Drosophila melanogaster: one gene and its partners. The protein of the gene in region 3 purifies or fractionates together with the protein of the main gene of each other region. This does not show direct contact. Each region holds a gene or a part of one and is shown on either strand. Other genes may lie near its edges.

Evidence for each region.
Region 1: the proteins of PQBP1 (region 3) and yps purify together in Drosophila melanogaster (affinity purification with western blotting; one study listed by BioGRID). This does not show direct contact.
Region 2: the proteins of PQBP1 (region 3) and Ref1 purify together in Drosophila melanogaster (affinity purification with mass spectrometry, with the first as the bait; one study listed by BioGRID). This does not show direct contact.

Annotation. Positions count from the first base shown.
Region 1 is NT_037436.4:12,120,339-12,127,759, reverse strand, and holds yps (ypsilon schachtel), read left to right. Parts: upstream 1-2,609; 5' UTR 2,610-2,873; coding exon 2,874-3,048; intron 3,049-4,185; coding exon 4,186-4,923; intron 4,924-4,986; coding exon 4,987-5,084; coding exon of another isoform or gene 5,085-5,096; exon of another isoform or gene 5,097-5,605; coding exon 5,606-5,653; 3' UTR 5,654-6,080; downstream 6,081-7,421. Other genes in the region: Ir68b (ionotropic receptor 68b), read left to right, coding at 366-2,273; CG11560 (uncharacterized protein), read right to left, coding at 6,701-7,117, 7,172-7,421.
Region 2 is NT_033777.3:7,076,056-7,082,141, forward strand, and holds Ref1 (RNA and export factor binding protein 1), read right to left. Parts: upstream 4,333-6,086; 5' UTR 4,155-4,332; coding exon 3,909-4,154; intron 3,401-3,908; coding exon 3,199-3,400; intron 2,965-3,198; coding exon 2,767-2,964; intron 2,353-2,766; coding exon 2,198-2,352; 3' UTR 1,849-2,197; downstream 1-1,848. Other genes in the region: CG1943 (uncharacterized protein), read left to right, coding at 864-1,220.
Region 3 is NT_033777.3:25,062,347-25,067,218, reverse strand, and holds PQBP1 (Poly-glutamine tract binding protein 1), read right to left. Parts: upstream 1,429-4,872; 5' UTR 1,342-1,428; coding exon 1,278-1,341; intron 1,218-1,277; coding exon 586-1,217; 3' UTR 501-585; downstream 1-500. Other genes in the region: Stt3B (catalytic subunit 3B of the oligosaccharyltransferase complex), read left to right, coding at 1-86, 141-212; veli, read left to right, coding at 1,705-1,741, 1,805-2,358, 2,423-2,572; stac (staccato), read right to left, coding at 2,950-3,041, 3,103-3,284, 3,342-3,511, 3,569-3,829, 3,888-4,253, 4,313-4,386, 4,451-4,541, 4,599-4,872.

The DNA of each region.
Region 1 (7,421 bases), on a different chromosome or scaffold from region 3:
TAGAAGTATACATTAATGCAAAATGTTGTTCAAATGTTTAGTTGCTAATCAAAAGAAAATGATTTCTTTTATAAATGCATAATCTTATTGCTTTTTAGAAACTCAAATAAAAAAAAACCCATTTTATTGCAAACCTTCCGTTTACTTTCATTCATTTTCTGTAATGTCCTTTTATTCCTTTTATAATTATTTTGTAGAAATCAAGTTTTGATAACTTTTTTCAAGTTACCCCAAAAATATTAGCCAACTAATGAACTGCTCACGCATCGCTTTTCCTAATTGGGAATTACGGCTCCCATGGGAAATCCTCTACAGGTGTTGTGTTCACCCAAAGGATATTTCACTGGTTAGTCTGCTCGTAGAACATGAAGTTTTTGGTTGGATTGCTGCTCCAATGGTATCTTCCTGGCATTTATGCCCTTGCCGAGATTGCCTGTCGCATAGCCGTAGAGCAGAATGTCCAGGTGACCTATCTGTACCGCTGTGCCAGCTGCCCGGCATCCTTCGATGCGGATTACTCTGCCTTGGAATTGGATCTCTATCGGTGTGTGGGCAGTAGACTGCCCGTAATCACACGGAACATGGAAGCACATGAGCTGGAACCATTTAGACGAACGGACAGCCTAAGCATCTTTCAAATTCCGGCTGCCGAAAAGGGTGATTCCTTGGTACGCCGCATCCTGGACATGTTGAATCCTCACCAGAGGCGCAAGCATATGCACAAGTATCTGTTTGTTTGGCCAAATGCCGGAAGGCATCAGTTACTGCGACTTTTTCGCGGCAGTTGGGCCAAGAAGCTGCTCTACGGATTGGCCATTACCGGCAGGGAAAATGGCACCTTTGACTTTGATCCCTTTGCTTGGGGTGGTCTCCAAGTGATTCAGCGGCTGGATGGCGAAGTGCCGTACGCAAGAAAGGTGAAGGACTTGCGCGGCTACCCATTGCGTTTCTCCATGTTTACGGATCCGTTGATGGCGATGCCCAGGAGTCCTGTGGAGACAGCTGGCTATCAGGCAGTGGATGGAGTGGCGGCCCGAGTTGTTGGCGAGATGTTGAATGCCTCAGTAACATATGTCTTCCCGGAGGATAACGAATCCTACGGTCGTTGCCTTCCGAATGGAAACTACACCGGCGTGGTCAGCGACATAGTCGGTGGTCACACCCACTTTGCACCCAATTCCCGCTTCGTGCTCGACTGCATTTGGCCAGCGGTTGAGGTGCTGTATCCCTATACCCGTCGCAACCTGCACCTGGTCGTGCCCGCCTCCGCAATCCAGCCGGAGTACCTGATCTTCGTGCGTGTCTTTCGGCGAACTGTGTGGTACTTGCTCTTGGTCACCCTTTTGGTTGTGGTGCTGGTCTTCTGGGTGATGCAACGTCTGCAGCGAAGAATTCCCCGTCGCGGAGTCATCCAGTTTCAGGCAACGTGGTATGAGATTCTCGAGATGTTCGGCAAGACACATGTGGGTGAACCGGCGGGCAGGCTATCCTCCTTCAGCTCGATGAGAACGTTCCTCATGGGTTGGATCCTCTTCAGCTACGTCCTGTCCACCATCTACTTTGCCAAACTGGAGTCCGGATTTGTGCGACCAAGCTACGAGGAGCAGGTGGACCGAGTGGACGATTTGGTACATTTGGATGTGCACATTTATGCGGTGACCACGATGTATGACGCAGTTAGGAGCGCCCTGACGGAGCACCAATACGGTCTGCTGGAGAACCGTAGTCGCCAGCTGCCACTGGGAATAGCCACATCCTATTACCAGCCGGTGGTCCGGCGCAGGGATCGACGAGCGGCCTTTATCATGCGGGATTTTCACGCCCGTGACTTTCTGGCCATCACCTATGACTCGCAGGCAGAGCGACCAGCCTACCACATCGCCCGGGAATATCTGCGCTCTATGATATGCACCTACATCCTACCAAGAGGATCGCCCTTTCTGCACCGCTTGGAATCTCTGTACAGTGGCTTCCTCGAGCACGGCTTCTTTGAGCACTGGCGTCAAATGGATCTGATCACCCGGGTTGGTGCGTCGCCGGATGCTGAGGAGTTTCTCGAGGATCTGGGCGACCAGACGGACACGGATTCCGGCTCCAACGAGTTGGCGATTCGTAACAAAAAGGTGGTTCTCACTCTGGACATCCTGCAGGGCGCCTTCTATCTCTGGTCCGTGGGGATTGGCATAAGCTGCTTGGGATTTGCAGTGGAGCACGCTCATTGGTTTTGGCGGAGACAGACACTTCGGAATGCGGTTGAAGCTAGAACAAGCTAACTAAAAATATTAAAAATTACTAAATAAAAGGTACATATATGTTTGTTATTGTAAATACTATACTAAGTTTTCAATAAATTTCACCGCTGTTTAGTTGGACATGTTGTTTTATACATTTTAATGATAAAACTGTAGTTTTATATTATTCTAACCATTTAATGAATTTAACCATTTATTCCAATTAACCTTTCTTGTAAATTTAAATGTAACGGCTTTTTATGTTGTTATGGCTTAACATTCCGCGCGTAACAGCACACTGGAGACCCCCAGTATCAGAGCATCGATAGCACCCATCGATAGTCCGATCACCAGCAACCCTGCCTCCGGCTGTCATGTTTCACTTCCGGAGCTTGCGAACAAAATAGAATCGCTAAGGCAAAGAAAACCCTGCGAGTGGCGAGTGTTTTAAGATCACACTCAAAAACAACATCCAAAGTGGTTAGTGGCAGTTGAGAGAGTGCCCAAGACCCCGAATACCAGCCGGGCAGACACGAACAACACCAGCAGCAGCAGCACCACCATCATCAACAGCAGCAGCAGCATTTCCCGCTTTTCGTTTTCGTCGTCGCCGAACAACAAATAACAAAACCACGACAAACGATGGCTGATGCCGCGGAGAGTAAGCCACTGGCCGCCGAACAGCAGCAGGCGCAGCAGCAGCCGGAGCAGCAGCAGAATCCGCCGAATCCGCAGGAGCAGGATCACGAGCAGGAGCCGCTGGACGAGCTGCAGGGACAGCAGGGCCAGCCCGCTCCGCCCACCAAGGAAGTCATCGGTAAGGCTGAAACTCGCATGTTAAACCCAATTCCCAACCAATTTCATTCATGTGCCGCGAACACATGGCGGCTGCTACCAAAATAGCAATGAAAAAAAGGAGGAAAAAAGAACAAGAAACATGCCTCCCTGTATGCGTGTGTGTGTGTGTGTTTTGAGTCTTAAAATATACGCGCGTCGGCCATTTTGTGCGGCCAAAGGCAACGCAACGCATGTATATATGTATGTGCACGAACGCTCGCGCCGCCGGCTAACCAAATTGAAAATTCTGCCTTTTGCCGGTCGTCTGTCTTTCCACCCACCCAACCACCAACCCCACCCGCTTCGCCTCTTTAAAAAATGCCCCCCCATAGGTGTACACACACACACACATACACACATGCAGAGCGAGCCAGGGCAACCCAATTTGTTAATGCGCGCGCAGCGGGAGTGCGAACGAGAGGGCAGACAGCCGGGTGTGGATGTGTGTGTTCATTGTTTTGGTACATCTATTTGCACACACACACTAAAACGCATGGAAGCATGGCTATAAGGCGATTTCAAAACACGAGACCATAATGCAACCAATAAGATACAATAATATTCGGCGACTATTACAATATATTGCCAAATAATTTGGGATGCCACTATATTTTCGCGTAAATCAACATATTATATGCATACTTATATGGTTTATTCGAAATTTTGGTAACCATAGTTTTAAATAATTGTTAACCAATAATTTGTGGTTATAAAACGTCTTTCAATGTTATTGCACGCTTCAATGAGTTTTCAAACTGCGTATTAGTTTAGTTTCAGATGTATTGCGTTTTGCCCCTCCTTTATAATAAAAAAAAAATGCAAAGTATTATCTCAAAACTACCCCTTTTGTATAATTTAAGTTTCTTATGTAGAATTATTTGTATTTTAGAAGTCAGCTCGCTGTGCATCCCTACTGTTCCCTAATATTTTTGTTGCATGTATAATGTTTAAAGGATTATAATATTTGATAAAGGAATGATTGCAACTGATCCCAAACAAGTATTATACCATTGAAATCAATTAAATGATCACACGTTTGTAGAATAAGTACCGCCAAAAATATTGAATCCCACTATTATCCCCAATTGTTTATAATTTCTACTCTTTCCCATTGCAGCCACCAAAGTCACCGGCACCGTCAAGTGGTTCAACGTGAAGAGCGGCTACGGCTTCATCAACCGCAACGACACCAGAGAGGATGTCTTTGTGCACCAGAGCGCCATTGCGCGGAACAACCCCAAAAAGGCGGTCCGCTCGGTGGGCGACGGTGAGGTCGTTGAGTTCGACGTGGTCATTGGTGAGAAGGGCAACGAGGCGGCCAACGTGACCGGTCCCTCCGGTGAGCCGGTGCGGGGCAGTCAGTTTGCAGCGGACAAGCGCCGTAACTTCCGTCCCTGGATGAAGAAGAATCGCCGCAAGGATGGCGAAGTGGAAGGCGAAGACGCCGAATCGTCGGCCCAGCAGCAACAGCAGCAGGCGGCACCAATCGTTGACGGGCAGCCGCAGCAGCAGGTGCAGTCCGGCCCGCGTCAACCACGACAGAACTTCCGCCGAGGACCACCCGGTGGACCGCCCGGAGGACCTCGAGGTGGCCCCCGAGGACCGCCTGGTGGAGCTCCCGGTGGCCCCCGGCGCTACAACAACTATTATCTGCGTCAGCCGAGACGCGGCCTGGGCGGCGGTGACGGCAGCGCCGAGCCCGGTGTCCACGATCAGAATCCCGAGGGTCTGCAGCGCGGCGAGGGTCAGGGACCACGTCGCGGTGGAGGCCCACCGGGCGGACCCCAGAGGCGCTTCTTCCGACGCAACTTCAACAATGGTCCACCGCCACCACGCCGCGACGGCGGAGAATACAGTGAGTGAACTTTGTGCTATTAGATAATTGGTATATATTATTATTAATATTATTCTGTTGCAGTTCAAGGCCAGGGACCGCCACGCCCACAACAGCCACGTCCACGTCGCCAGAGGAAACCAAATGGCCCTGGCGGTGGTTCGGAGCAGCAGCCAGAGAAGGTAATGAACTAATCACCAGCATCATCACAACAGCAGAAACAACTGAAACATCTTCGCCGAAACAAACCTACGATAACAACATCTAAATTAGTAAACATCAGCAACAGTCAGTCGCAAGCATAACAACAAGGTCTACAATAATAACATGGTGAAGGCGTCTTAAAAACTAAACAACTAACTAAAGTGCATTGTGTAGATGCATTCGTAAATAACCACTAACAACCAGAGCAGCCACACGCACCGACACCAAAAGCAGAGAAACAGCGATAAAGCGGAGAAACCACCCTAACATTTAACACTTTACACTTAACTTGGAGGCTTTGGGTCTAACATAACATTCTAATACATTTAGTTTTTAGTTACCTAACCTGTGACTAATTGGCTAACAAGCAACACACACACACTTAATTTACAACCGAAACCAGCATTTTGCTTTCATCCCTTCGATTTATTTTTGAAGTTGTACTTACGTTAATGATTTCTACCCCCCTCGCCATGTTTTCCCATGTTCAAATTCCTAGAACGGCGCTCAAGAGCTGCAAAATACAACCACAGAGAGCACTGCATAGAAAAGGATCCGAAAGGATCTAAATCGTCAACCGACAAACAAAAACATCGTCAGCAGTAGCCGCAGTATATAACTACAATCGCAGAAAAACAGCAGCAGCAGCCCATCCTCAACATCAGCGACCAATGCAACATCATGGTGCAATAAGATCAGCAAATGTTGCAGCAAATTTTGCTAAATGAGCCGCCGCGTTTTTTCGGTTTGTTTGCTTTTTGTTTAGTTTCGTAGGGCAGAGAATCAATTGTACAACTCATACCACAACAAAACTAACATCCTCAAAATTTCAATCAAATTCAAAAACAAACAAAAAATTGTATAAAATTTCCATCAAGCCTGGCCGTCGTCAAAAAATTGCATAATTGTGGAATTTTTATTGTATGAACCAACAAACCAAACACGAAAACATAAATAAATTTCAATTACACTGCAATTTAGATGGCGCCGGTATACAATTTACTTTAATGATTATTACCATTTTTTATTTATTTATTCTTGAAAGCATTGTTACCCGTTGTGCGTTAAGCAAACCCATAACTCTAAGTTACTCGATTTAAAGATCATTAAAAACGTAAACCTATACCAATAACCACACCACCACTTTGTCCCATTTATGCATCATCCGAAATCGAGAACCATAGCCATCGGGCGAAAAGAAATGAAAGCAAAGCAGAGCAAACAAACAGAAGAACGAAATCATGTAAATCACAGCAAACAAACATACAAAAAAAAACTGTAAAAGATGCAAAAATATACAACAAACGCAAGATGGCAACAAAGGAAAGTAAAAAAAAAAACTTTAAAAACGTATTGGAAAAAATAAAAAAATTGAAAAACACTTTTTGGTATTGTTTATTTGTGTAAATTCTAAACTAAAGTGTAGTTTATAAATGTTTACTTAAATCGCTATCGAATATATTATTTTATATATTTATTCTAATTTTTATTATTTATTTATTGGGGATCTACGTTAAGTGAGCAAATCATTGAGTCTGCAATATAAATAAATTCTTAAGCTAATTTACATATGCGGTATTGGCATGGTGAGGTGCTACAGGTTTGTGGTCAAGGATGTGACCGTGGAAATGCTCAGTCGCTCCAGACGACCCAAGACCAGTAGTTCATCTATGGAGCGCTTGGCGTAGAACTTTTGGTCCTCGTTCAGCCGCAGGAAGGCGTGAGCCCAGGCTTTGGCATAGGATTCCGCTTCGGAAATGGCATTGGCATCGAACTGGGCGACACTTTCCGTTGGCTTGGGTTCGATTGCCTCACCGCCAGCATCGGATGTAGTATGTTGGATGTCACATAGGTCCAGCTCGATGGGCACCTGATCTTCCGCCTCCACAATCTCAATCTCGTCTTCCGGCTCCTCTGGTTCAGTCGACAAGTTCTCCTCGGAGAAGAGCTTCAGCAGGGGTCTGGAGTGGGAGGATTCCAATTCACGTTTTGATTTCAGCTGCAGGATAATCTAAATTATGTAGTTTCAGCTTGACTTGTATGGGTATAAAAGTGCAGTACTTACAGTCTGCTCCTCCTCCAAAGAAGCCTCAATCTCATCATCCAGATCGCTGTACTGGGTCTCCGGATCCATGGTGACCTCATAGAACTGCTCACACTGCGTAGAATAGGATGTCGGCCGCCTGGTCTTCGGTTTCTGGACGCGCGGCGACGGTTGGCTAGCTGGTGGCGCGGGATCATGGTCGTAGGAGTGACTGCCGTCGGTGAGATGGCCGTTCTGCTTGATATACCGTACGTGGCACTTGTGGATGCGC
Region 2 (6,086 bases), about 18 Mb from region 3:
TTTGTTTTCCCGTACCCCAACAAAATTGCCAGTGTGTGTGGCCTGTGTTTGTTGTTGTCGCCAACAGCCACCCCAAATGGGATACACCCCAGGCGGGAGTTGGGCGGAATGTGCCTCCCCCAGCGGATGACGCATCATTACAAATGCTTCTTCACCGCACTTGCCTCAGATGTCATCGCCTGGGAGGCGACCTCTTTTCCGCCATAAGCGAGGCAAAAAATCATTACGAAACTAATATTTGTCATTTGCATCTTGGATGCGAGGAAGTGTGTTTTATAGATGATATGTAAAGCATATTATTTTCATATATACATATAACCCACTTTCTATTAACTTAATTAGTTTCTTAATTGACCACTCTGACTATTGGCACTTTATATCACCAAAGGACTTTATTGTTTGAACTGTAGTCAATGGTCAATGCCCAAACGCACTTTTTGAGCCCACTGTGCGAACGCCTAACACAAAAACGGAGAAATGAACAATGGCAAAAACAACAACGAAAGTGCGACAGCCACAAAACGCGCAATTACAGTTAACGGCAAAGTTAAAAAGTTGAGGGCAGCGCAGCAAGAAAAATAGATGAGTTTCTATATACATACATACATACATATGTGTGTAGAGAAACCGTCGATAAGGTGGCAGAAGGGCAGAACAAATGGGTCTCTCGTTTTCACTCCACTTCGCCAAGATTTGCCAGTGGTGGGGTGATGTCGGATGACGGGCGTCATTGTGCCGGGCGTCACATCCGCAAGTGGCGTGACTGAATTTGTAGTCTAGGGTACTCGTATTTCCGACCGCATCTGATTCACTTTTCATTGTTATGCATTGCAGTCACTGAAACCACAACCAGCAGCGACAAAATGACATCCACCGAGCTGAAAATCGGCCTGACCACCAGTGCCCGTCCCTCCAGCCGAGTGCTGAAGCCCCCAGGCGGCGGACACACCAATATCTTCTCGGAGCCCGACGTGGCCGTTCCCGCCCCGCGTGCCAAGTACAACCAACAGAACTCCTCAAACCTCAATGCCTGCATGGGCTCCACGGATCCCAACAAGGTGGTGGAGAAAATTCGCGAAGAGGTCTCCATCCAGAAGGAGGAGGCCAAGTCCGCCCCACCCAGCCAGCCCAAGGAGCCGGCGAACAAACCAGCGGCCACAAATGGAGAGGCACGCGGCCGAGTTCCACCCGGCGGATTCTCGTCGGGCGGATTCTGGTAGAGGGAGGAAGGAGGGAAGGAAGTGTGCCCGGGAGCAGAAGCAGCTGCCAAGCATTTAATGACTCACCATCACATCCTCAGACCGACATAAGAATCATAAAACTATAAATATACATAACTCGCTTATAACATACGTATACACCTATATTTAGAGGCGCATTACCTATATTAACCTGCTGATCAGCCGAAGAAGAAGGGAAACTGATTATATTTTGCCAAGCAGCACTCCAAGTCGTTCTTCCTTTCGCCCTTTCATTTTCATGTCCCACATTTGTTCTATTGTCTAAGTAACAGGTTTAAAATGTCTAACGAAATTGTTGAAATTAAGTAACTCGTGATTCCGCCCCACAAATACGGATGATATGGATTGACTTTGCTAAAATCTACCACCTACTAAGCCTAATTTAGCATTTGTACTTAAAGTGTCCAATCGAATCTTCTTATAGTCTGTAAAATTCGTCCAAACGAATACCAATATAACCATCGATGTATTACTCCAAATAAAACATTTAATTGTAAGTGATGGCTCTTTTATTTTTGCAAGTTGATGGAGATTCTTCGGAGTCCGCCGCCGCCTAGTAATTAAACAATACTCCTAGCCTATTGAGTCAGTAAATACAATTCGATTTGGTCACGAAATTAATTCTAGTATTTATTACAATTCAGTTTAATTTGACAAGGTCCATCAATTTATCGTCGAACTTGATAAAGCGCATTTCTAAATACAATAAATACAGCATCAAATGTATTTCAGTTATCTTAACATCCGCCGCATTGGCAAAACTAACAATTAATGGATAAATGCGCAAGTGGTTGATTGATTTGATGTCCGATGCTTTCAAAGATCTGCTCCTGGGCGCGGCGTTGTCGATGCGTTTGCATTTATGTACCATGCGGGGGGTGTCCATATGGTAGGCTTAAAACTATAGATTGGGCTGCTCTTCTATTCTTGTTAGACTAATTCAGACTATTCACTATTTAGATCTTCATGTCGTTGATGTATGAGTCCAGTTCGGCGTCCAGCTCCTCAGCAGTGGGCGGGGCCTTGCGCTCCCGTCGCTGGCCGCCTGCCGCCGGCTTGCCACCGACCGGACGTTTGAAGCCGCGACGCGCCGTGCCACCAGCTTGGCCACCTAAAAAACAGTTCGGAATGATAGTGTAAGCATTGGAGCAAGGATGGATCGTCATGGGACCGTATCATGGTCATTATAGAAAGGTAAGCTTTCATATGTGGAACTGACCTAGTAACGTAGTTTACCCAACAAACATCGTATTAAATCGAAACAAAAGTTTGAATAATTACAAAAGCTGTTGACAAGAAAACATAACAAAGAAAGGAAAGTATTTCGTATAAAAAGTCAAGTAACAAAATTTGAAACCTAAGACATACTAGGTAATCGAAATAAATAGGCATTTAAAAATCTTTGTGGGAATGGGGATAGATCCAAAATTGATCTGAAATAGTTTTAAATGAACGATGTTTGTGGTAAAAATAAACGAAAATGGGCATCATTCACGGTCCCTGCTGTAGCATTTTGGATACGCACCACCACGCTTGAATGAAGTTGGTGCAGTACCACCCACGCGACGCTTGACATCGGTGGCGGCTACGGGACGGGTCAACACGGCCACGTCTGAGACGGCCAGCTGAATGGTCATAGGGCGTCCGTCCAAAGGTACGCCATGGTACTGTTTAATGGCCTTCAAGGCGTCGGCGCGACGTTCGAAAATCACGTCAGCGGTGCCTGCAAAGAAAAGTGAATAAATCAAATACATGGCAATAGCTTTAAATTTCGGCATAAATCAAAATACTAAATAAAAACCGCAGCTTCATCGGATGATCTGATCTGTTATCAATTCAAGCCGATTTATATTACTTGGAATGTCTGTTACTGAACCATTCTGCCGCCATTTTATGAACAGCATGTACCGAAATGTTTCACCTAACGACAGGTAGCTGGAGTAGTACTAGCACTTACCCAACGAGCGACCGGAGCGATCGTAGTGCACTGCCGCCTTCTTTATCGGACCAAAGTCGTTGAAGAGCTCCTTGATGTCCGTGTTGGATACGCCGTAGTCCAGGTTACCGACGATGAGGCGGGTGGGTCCAGATCCTCCACCGACGGCACCCCTCTTCGGTCCGTCGTACATATCGTGCTTCCAAGCGCTGTTCACATCGCCCTAGAGGTGGGGGTAGTATTAGGTAGAAGGTAGATGGGTATGTCTTCGAACGCTGCGCGTATCAACTATATGTATGTGGCGGGAGTAGCCGTTGCAGTAGCAGTTGCATCGTATCCTAGCCACAAGAGAGGACAGCCATATTGAGCGGAGACACTAGAAATGCTTGTTAACTGGGTATGGTTCACGTGGAAAACGTGAGGCGTGAGACGTGAGGAAAAATAAGTTAAGACACAGGTGTCGTCTGTTTGGTATTCTGTAAAAACGGGGTTAAAGGAACTTGAACTTGAGGCTCTGCTCGGGCTCGAAGAGTTGTTCCGTCCGTTGGAAGGCGCATGGTGGCCATTTTGATTTTGGTTTAGATTCTGAGTCTGTTTTTCGCTTCCAAGCACTGTTGTGCGGATCATGGGCCGCAAGACACTTGCTTTGGTAGTGCTCTGTCCTGGTGAACTGAGCACGGGGATGGTCTGCTCCGGCTGCTCCGTTTGGCCATTGAAACGCAATGAATTACCCGTGGGAACTTGGCCTTCTGAACGGCTCCGGCGGCCACTCCTCCTCGCGGGCCCTTGAGCACGCTTCCTGGCTTCCTGGGCGAGCCGCCGGCATTGGCTCCGCCGCGGCGGGCTCCACCAGCAAAACGCTGCTGTCCGCCCGTTTTTCGGGCGCCACCTGGTCCGCCGCGGGCGGCTTGCGGCTTTTTTTGCGAGCGTGTGGACTTAATGATGTCGTCGAGGCTCATTTCAATTTTGTCCACCATCTTGCTTATTGCGTGCTGTATTGACTACTTGGAGATCGTTTAAAGTCAAGGGAAAGATTGGGTCTCTGCTTGCTACTGAAGAATGTGTTTAAAGCGTTTTTTTTTTAAGGAGGAGCGCGTGGAATTTCACAAAACTTTGCAAAAACGACGCACACAGATCTACACAATCGCCATATTGGTTCAGAGGAAAAAAGTGTTGAATAACGGTGTGCGTCAAGATAACGACGACAACGAGTTGTCAACGAAAATGAAACGGCGAAATAGGGTAAATACGGAAATTATATAAACATAAAATATAACATAACATTAAAAATTATTATAATTCATATTCACGAAATATCCTAATAATATGGGAAATATCCACTTTTGAAAATGTTTAGAACCATAATAAATATGTGATTATAATAATGTTGTGATTAAATGTTGTGATTAAAATGACTATGATCTTGGAAAATTATTTGGAATGATTACCTCCCATCTAAGTTTTTTTTTTCTCTCTTTTTATTTACAATCTGTCTTAAAAAAGTATGACAATAAGTACATTTTATAATTAATCTTATATTAACAGAGGCAGTAGTTATCCATTAATCCCTACTACATACTCTAGGCATAACATGTTTTAATACTTAAAACCTGTCAGGGAGGTCTAGCACGTAAAATCTTTTAAGTCTTCTGACGTTGTTATTACGTTTTACCAAACTTAAGGCTAAGTTATTTTCATGTGTTCTTAGTCTGTCTATATATTTTTTAATATGTTTTGCTATTTCTTCTTTAACATAAGGGATTCCTAAGTCTTTATGGATACTTGCATTTGAAATAAAAATTGAGCATCAACAATTTGTCTTAATATTTTTGATTGGTAGCGTTGTAGAATCTAAATATTTGAATTGCTGGTATAAGTTTAGTATGGCTTTGTATAAACGGACTTTATTTTCCAGAGTGGTTGCAGATTTTCGGCAACCAGCAACCAGGTCATCTTCAAACTTTTTAGATTTAGTTGCTGGCGCTTTGCTTTTATGTGTTTTTTCACGTTAGTCTGGGATCGAGGTGCAAGCCAAGGTACTTTATGCAATTACTTTGTGGGCAGTCATCTCTTCTTAATGCAAAAGTTATTTGCGCAGATTTCAGGGCGTTGACATTAATTTTCCAAAGAAGAAACCAGCGTAGCTCTGCTTGCAGGAGTTGTGAGGCTTCTTTAGATGAGCTGGTAGCATTTCAAATTAAAAAAAAAAAATTAAATTTTAATTTTGAAGAAAATTTTCAACATTTAGCTTATAAACAACTTAATCTTAATCTAATCCGAAAATCTCAAATGGAAATACAAATTTCTTGATTGGGATACAGCCTAGTTATACCCGTTACTTGTAGAGTAAGAGGGTATACTAGATTCGTTGAAAAGTATCTAACAACTAGAAGGAAGTGCTTCCGACTATATAAAGTATATATATTCTTGATTAGGAACAATAGACGAGTCGATCTAGCCATGTCCGTGGAGATCTCAGGAACTATAAAAGCGAGAAGGTTCAGATTCAGCATACAGCCTCTAGAGACATAGACCATGTTGCCACGCCCACTCTTACGTTCTCAAGCCGTAAAAAACGCCACGCTCAAACTTTTGAACAATTCTTCGAATTTTTTCAAAATTCTATTAGCCTTGTAAATTTCTATCGATTTGCCGAAAAACTTTTTACCACGCCGCTCTAACGCCCTAAAGACGCAATTGAAAAATTTTTGCTCATTTTATTCCCCTAGATATTAGATCCCTCCCAGAAAAATGTTGAAATTTCGTGTTCGCATTTACACTAACTGGTATCTGTGAACTCGACTATAGCATTCTCTTGTGCTTTTATTATAAATACAACCATAACCGTTTTATTTTGTTTTTTAGGAACAGTTACGCAGAAGTGGCCCACAGTGCCCGCGAGTTTCAGT
Region 3 (4,872 bases):
GGGTGAAGAAGCCGCATGAGTTCAATAGACCATCACTGAAGACCAAGGAGAGAACGATTCCTCCAGCAAACTTCATTTCGAGAAAGGTAGTGTACCCTGCAGCTCCCAATGAACTTCATTAACAATCTGATTCTTTGCAGAACTCTAAGCGTCGCAAGGGCTACATACGAAACCGACCGGTTGTTGTTAAGGGAAAACGAACCTTGAAATAAACCCAAAAAAAAAATAATTGTATTGATCTTTCACCAATATATATAACTTGGTTAAAACACTTTACACATAGCACATAGTTTGGTGAAAGTGTGTCCACCGCATCCTCATGTTGAGGGCTTTAATCGCCGCCTCAAATTCAACTTTCACATACTTCCCGACTCGTGCGACACAATTTTATCGAGTTGCTGCTTTCGTAAAATTTCCGGTTCCTTCGATTTAAATCTGTTCGCGGCTCCACCATTCATTGTCTTAAGCTAGCAATTCAATAAAGCAGAGTGTACATTTTTAAACCTTAATATCTATCATAGTTATTCATTTTTATTTGAACAGTAGCGATCTACAGCTCATAAGTCAAATGGCTAGTTAGTAGTGCTAGTTATCATTACGGCGACGTCGTTGGATTTTTCGTTCCAGGTCCCTGGACTTTTGCTTCTTGGCGGGAACGAATACGTCGGGCTCGTCGGGTTCATTTTGGTTAGAAGACTTGGGCTGAACCATGTTGGTATCGAAGTTGAACTCATCGTTGGAGTTGGCCAGTTGTCTGCGAAACACTGCGGCGCTGTTGGTGATCCGTGCTTTGGGATGCGAAGGAGGTAGCCACGAAACAGTCTGTGTGGTCGAGTTATAGAAGTAAAACGCCTTGCAGCCCTTATCGTAGACATCCTTCCAGCCCGCCTCCAGTGGATACTTCCGCAGCAATCTCTTGTAGCGCTTGAGATACCTATGGCTGGGCTGCGAAAGCGGCGAGCTGTTGAACTTGTTTACGCAGTACAGCGAGCACTTGTGGTATATGTTGTATTTGTTGGGACACAGCTTGTAGCCATGGTAGGACTCGTTCACGCCGATCCGCTCCTTGATGCGGTGCGACCAGAACTTCTCCTCGACGCTCCTGCGCTTGGGCTCCGGCGATGTGTCCTCCTTGTACGGGTAAGGGCCGCTCTTGTCATCGTCATCGTAGTTCTCGGCTATAATCTCTTCTATAGCTTCTGAAATCGGTGCTGCTCCTGTGGAAAGCTGAAGTTGGTTATCCTCTTTTTGGATTCTATACTGGTCTTTGTATTTACCCGACTGTTTGGTCACAAGTCCGCGCTTCTTCAGGCGCTGCAATAGTGCAGCTGGCAGGCTCATTTTGCTATTATTCTATTGTTAGTTTAAATAAATACGGTGCGGAAATAATATCAATATAAAATAATATGACCATGGATGTACGTGCATAAAATACCACACTTTCAAGAAACTTGTTTGTTTCAAAAGATAATTTTTTAAACGAAAAGTACTGAGATTAGATTATAAGTATATGATATATTGTTAAATATAAAAAATATAACTTTTGTTACTATTTTATTAAACCAAATTATTTCAAATAGAGAATATAATTTCACGGAATGGTATTTTGTGCCCCTGAGACGTATGGTCATATTATTTTCAGCTGCTCGAATAATATTTCAGGTCAGCTCAATTTGACTGATTATTATTAAATTGAACAGCAATATGGCCGATAACGCAGAACCACTGACTTTGTCCAGAGGTAAGGGTGCATGCTAACCATTCCCAGTTGGAGGAAACTCACACCCAATGCTCTAACTTTCAGATGTCAAAAGATCGATAGAGCTCTTGGAAAAGCTGCAAGCGAGTGGCGACTTCCCCACGACAAAACTGGCCGCCCTGCAGAAGGTGCTCAACTCGGACTTCATGACCTCCGTGCGGGAGGTGTACGAGCACGTCTACGAGACGGTGGACATCCAGGGCTCCCACGACGTGAGGGCATCCGCCACTGCCAAGGCCACTGTGGCAGCCTTCGCAGCCAGCGAGGGGCACGCTCATCCCAGAGTCGTCGAGCTCCCGAAAACGGAGGAGGGTAAGACACGCCCCTATGAGCTAAGAATCGAGGGGATTCCCCTATATCATAAAACCAATACCTTGATTGTAAAGGTCTATAGACCGAGAATATATGTTTCTATTATACATCTTATATGGAAAGCTTTATCAATCTTTAATTTTTGTTTTTCAGGCTTGGGTTTCAATGTAATGGGGGGCAAGGAGCAAAACTCGCCCATCTATATATCCCGAATAATACCTGGAGGCGTGGCTGACAGGCATGGTGGTCTGAAAAGGGGAGATCAACTTTTGTCTGTGAATGGTGTGGTAAGTCATTAATTCAGTTATGTACCTTAACTCCTTAAGAACTTGCAAAATATCAATATTTCAGTCTGTCGAAGGAGAAAACCACGAGAAGGCCGTAGAGCTATTAAAGCAAGCTGTCGGATCTGTAAAGCTGGTGGTACGCTACACACCAAAGGTTCTCGAGGAAATGGAAATGCGATTTGATAAGCAACGCAACACACGTCGTCGCCAATAAGGCACATCGGCAAAAACTTGTGCCATAGTAGTTTTTGCCATTAGACCATGCTGATATGCACGTATCAAGCCCTTTACGAATAATATAATTTAACACAAATACCATTTATATATTATTTATTACAAAGAAACTCTGGAAAATTACTCTTTAATCGTAAAAAGTGAGTGTTATGTATTTGTAACTAATTACCGCGTTGGTTTTTGTTCCAATAAATGTAATTAAAACTGTCAGACAATGCAAATCTTTTCTTCATAAGTTTCAGTCCATAAATGGGGCCCATTTCAAAACGCAACTTTGTAAATTTTAGTACGATTGCCGTAGAAAATATAAAAATACAGTTTTATTGCTTTTCTTTACAACGTATAACTTTTCACAATTTAGGAGAAGGATCGGTTCTTCAGCTTTTTAAGGAAATCCTTGGCCTGCTTATCACCTAGTCTGTATTCCAAGGCACGCAGTGATTCGGAATCTGAAAGCACATAACATGTATAAGTTTCCAGTTTTAATCTGCCAAAAGTATGATTAGGTACCTGTATACTCTGGTCTGGATAGATTCATCATTATTTGCTCGCCCGGTGGTGTCGCTTCCAGATCTGCGAAAGATATATAGCTCTCTGCTATATACTGGCTCGACATGCCGAATAAATCTTTATCTTTGATGCTAAATACAATAAGACTATTCTTTTCACTTCGCTGGTGGTCACTCAAGTTTCTGCCGAATGAAGGTATATTTATATATGGATGCATAAATTAAAAAGTAACTACTTACATACGAAACTCCTGATCGTAAAGCGGAAAACAACTTTTGTTGTGCACGTTGGTCTTCACAGTGGGTACGTCGTTGAATCGACTTGTGGGCATGAAACTGGCCTTAACAAATGAGTCCACCGAACCATTTGAATCCATTGGCAGCAGATTGCGAGCATTTAAGATATTTAACTATAAGATATTTAACTCATTAAGCGGATTTTATGTTTCAAATGATTGAAGTCCTACCAATAAGCCGGTATCAGTTAACTGAGCCGTGATGGTAAGTTGTCCATATGGAGATGACTCTTGGCTCTTTTGGTTTTCTAGACGCTCCAAGTAATACTGATGAATAAGATCCGATGTCTCCAGGGAATAAAGCCTTAGTCGACTTTGAATTGAAGACAATATTTTTATGTCTGAAGTTTGAAGGTTGCCCATTTTAAAGCAGTCCATCATTGTCTGAAGAGTATTGTTCAAATTTTGGAAGAAAGCTGGTGGTCGGCGTTTCTAAAAAGATAATCAATTTCTTTTTATATTGTTTCATACTTGATAGGTCAGAACTTACGTCAAGATTTGATTGAATTAGATCATACATTATAATGGATAACTCTGACCAAATGCCATCCAGTATCCTCTGGAAATTAATCTCATTGAGAGTATCGTAGAGTGTGGCCAATGAGGATTCCAGGTACATCATTAACTGGTCCATGGAGTTGGAGTCCTTGGCGAGCACCTCAGCACCTTCGGCCAAGTATCGTCTAATTGGCGGTGCCATTTTCCTGGCCACAATCTCTATGAGCTCAACAATCTGATTGCGTTCGGTGTCCAATGCATTTTCAATGACAGTTTTGATGGTGCTTGCGCATCTCTCAGCCTCTAAGTTAGTTCGATACTCCCCCAATCTCTTGATAATGTCATCAATGCTAAGTTCCTGAAATAAATTATTTGTTTTCAATAAATTTGTTTGATTTAGGTAAATAAAACCTCTACCTTTATGAATGAAGGTAAGCTCTGCCGGATGTAATCCATGTTGTTTATCGCTATGCACCACTCCTCCGACAAAACTATAAAATAAATAAATTCAATACAAACAATATATGATAAAAAATGGTTTCCAATAGAACTTACTGAAATTTTTATTGTTATCATCAGCAATAAAAATATTCTCAACTCTGCGGGACATCTGTTGGGCATAAAATATGCAGCAGCGACAAAGATCCTGTAAAATTATAATAATTAGTAAAGATAACATAACTATATTTGTATTCAATCTCACATTGACGATTTTGGCTACGAAGATGTAGGAACCCTCGACCTCTGGCCAGTCAAGTTGTTGCCAAAATATCTTGATTTGGTAGAATATGGAAAGTGTGTCCACTGCCGAGGAGCTGTATTTCACTGTTTCATCGACCGCTTTCAGCTGATCCAAATCAATTGCTTTCTGGATGCGACTCAATGCCTTAATTATTGAAATATCCAGCCAGTGGGTAACTCCCCTCTCGAACCACGGGTAAAAGTTGGACAGTTCCAGGGGCTCGGAGCAAAGAGAT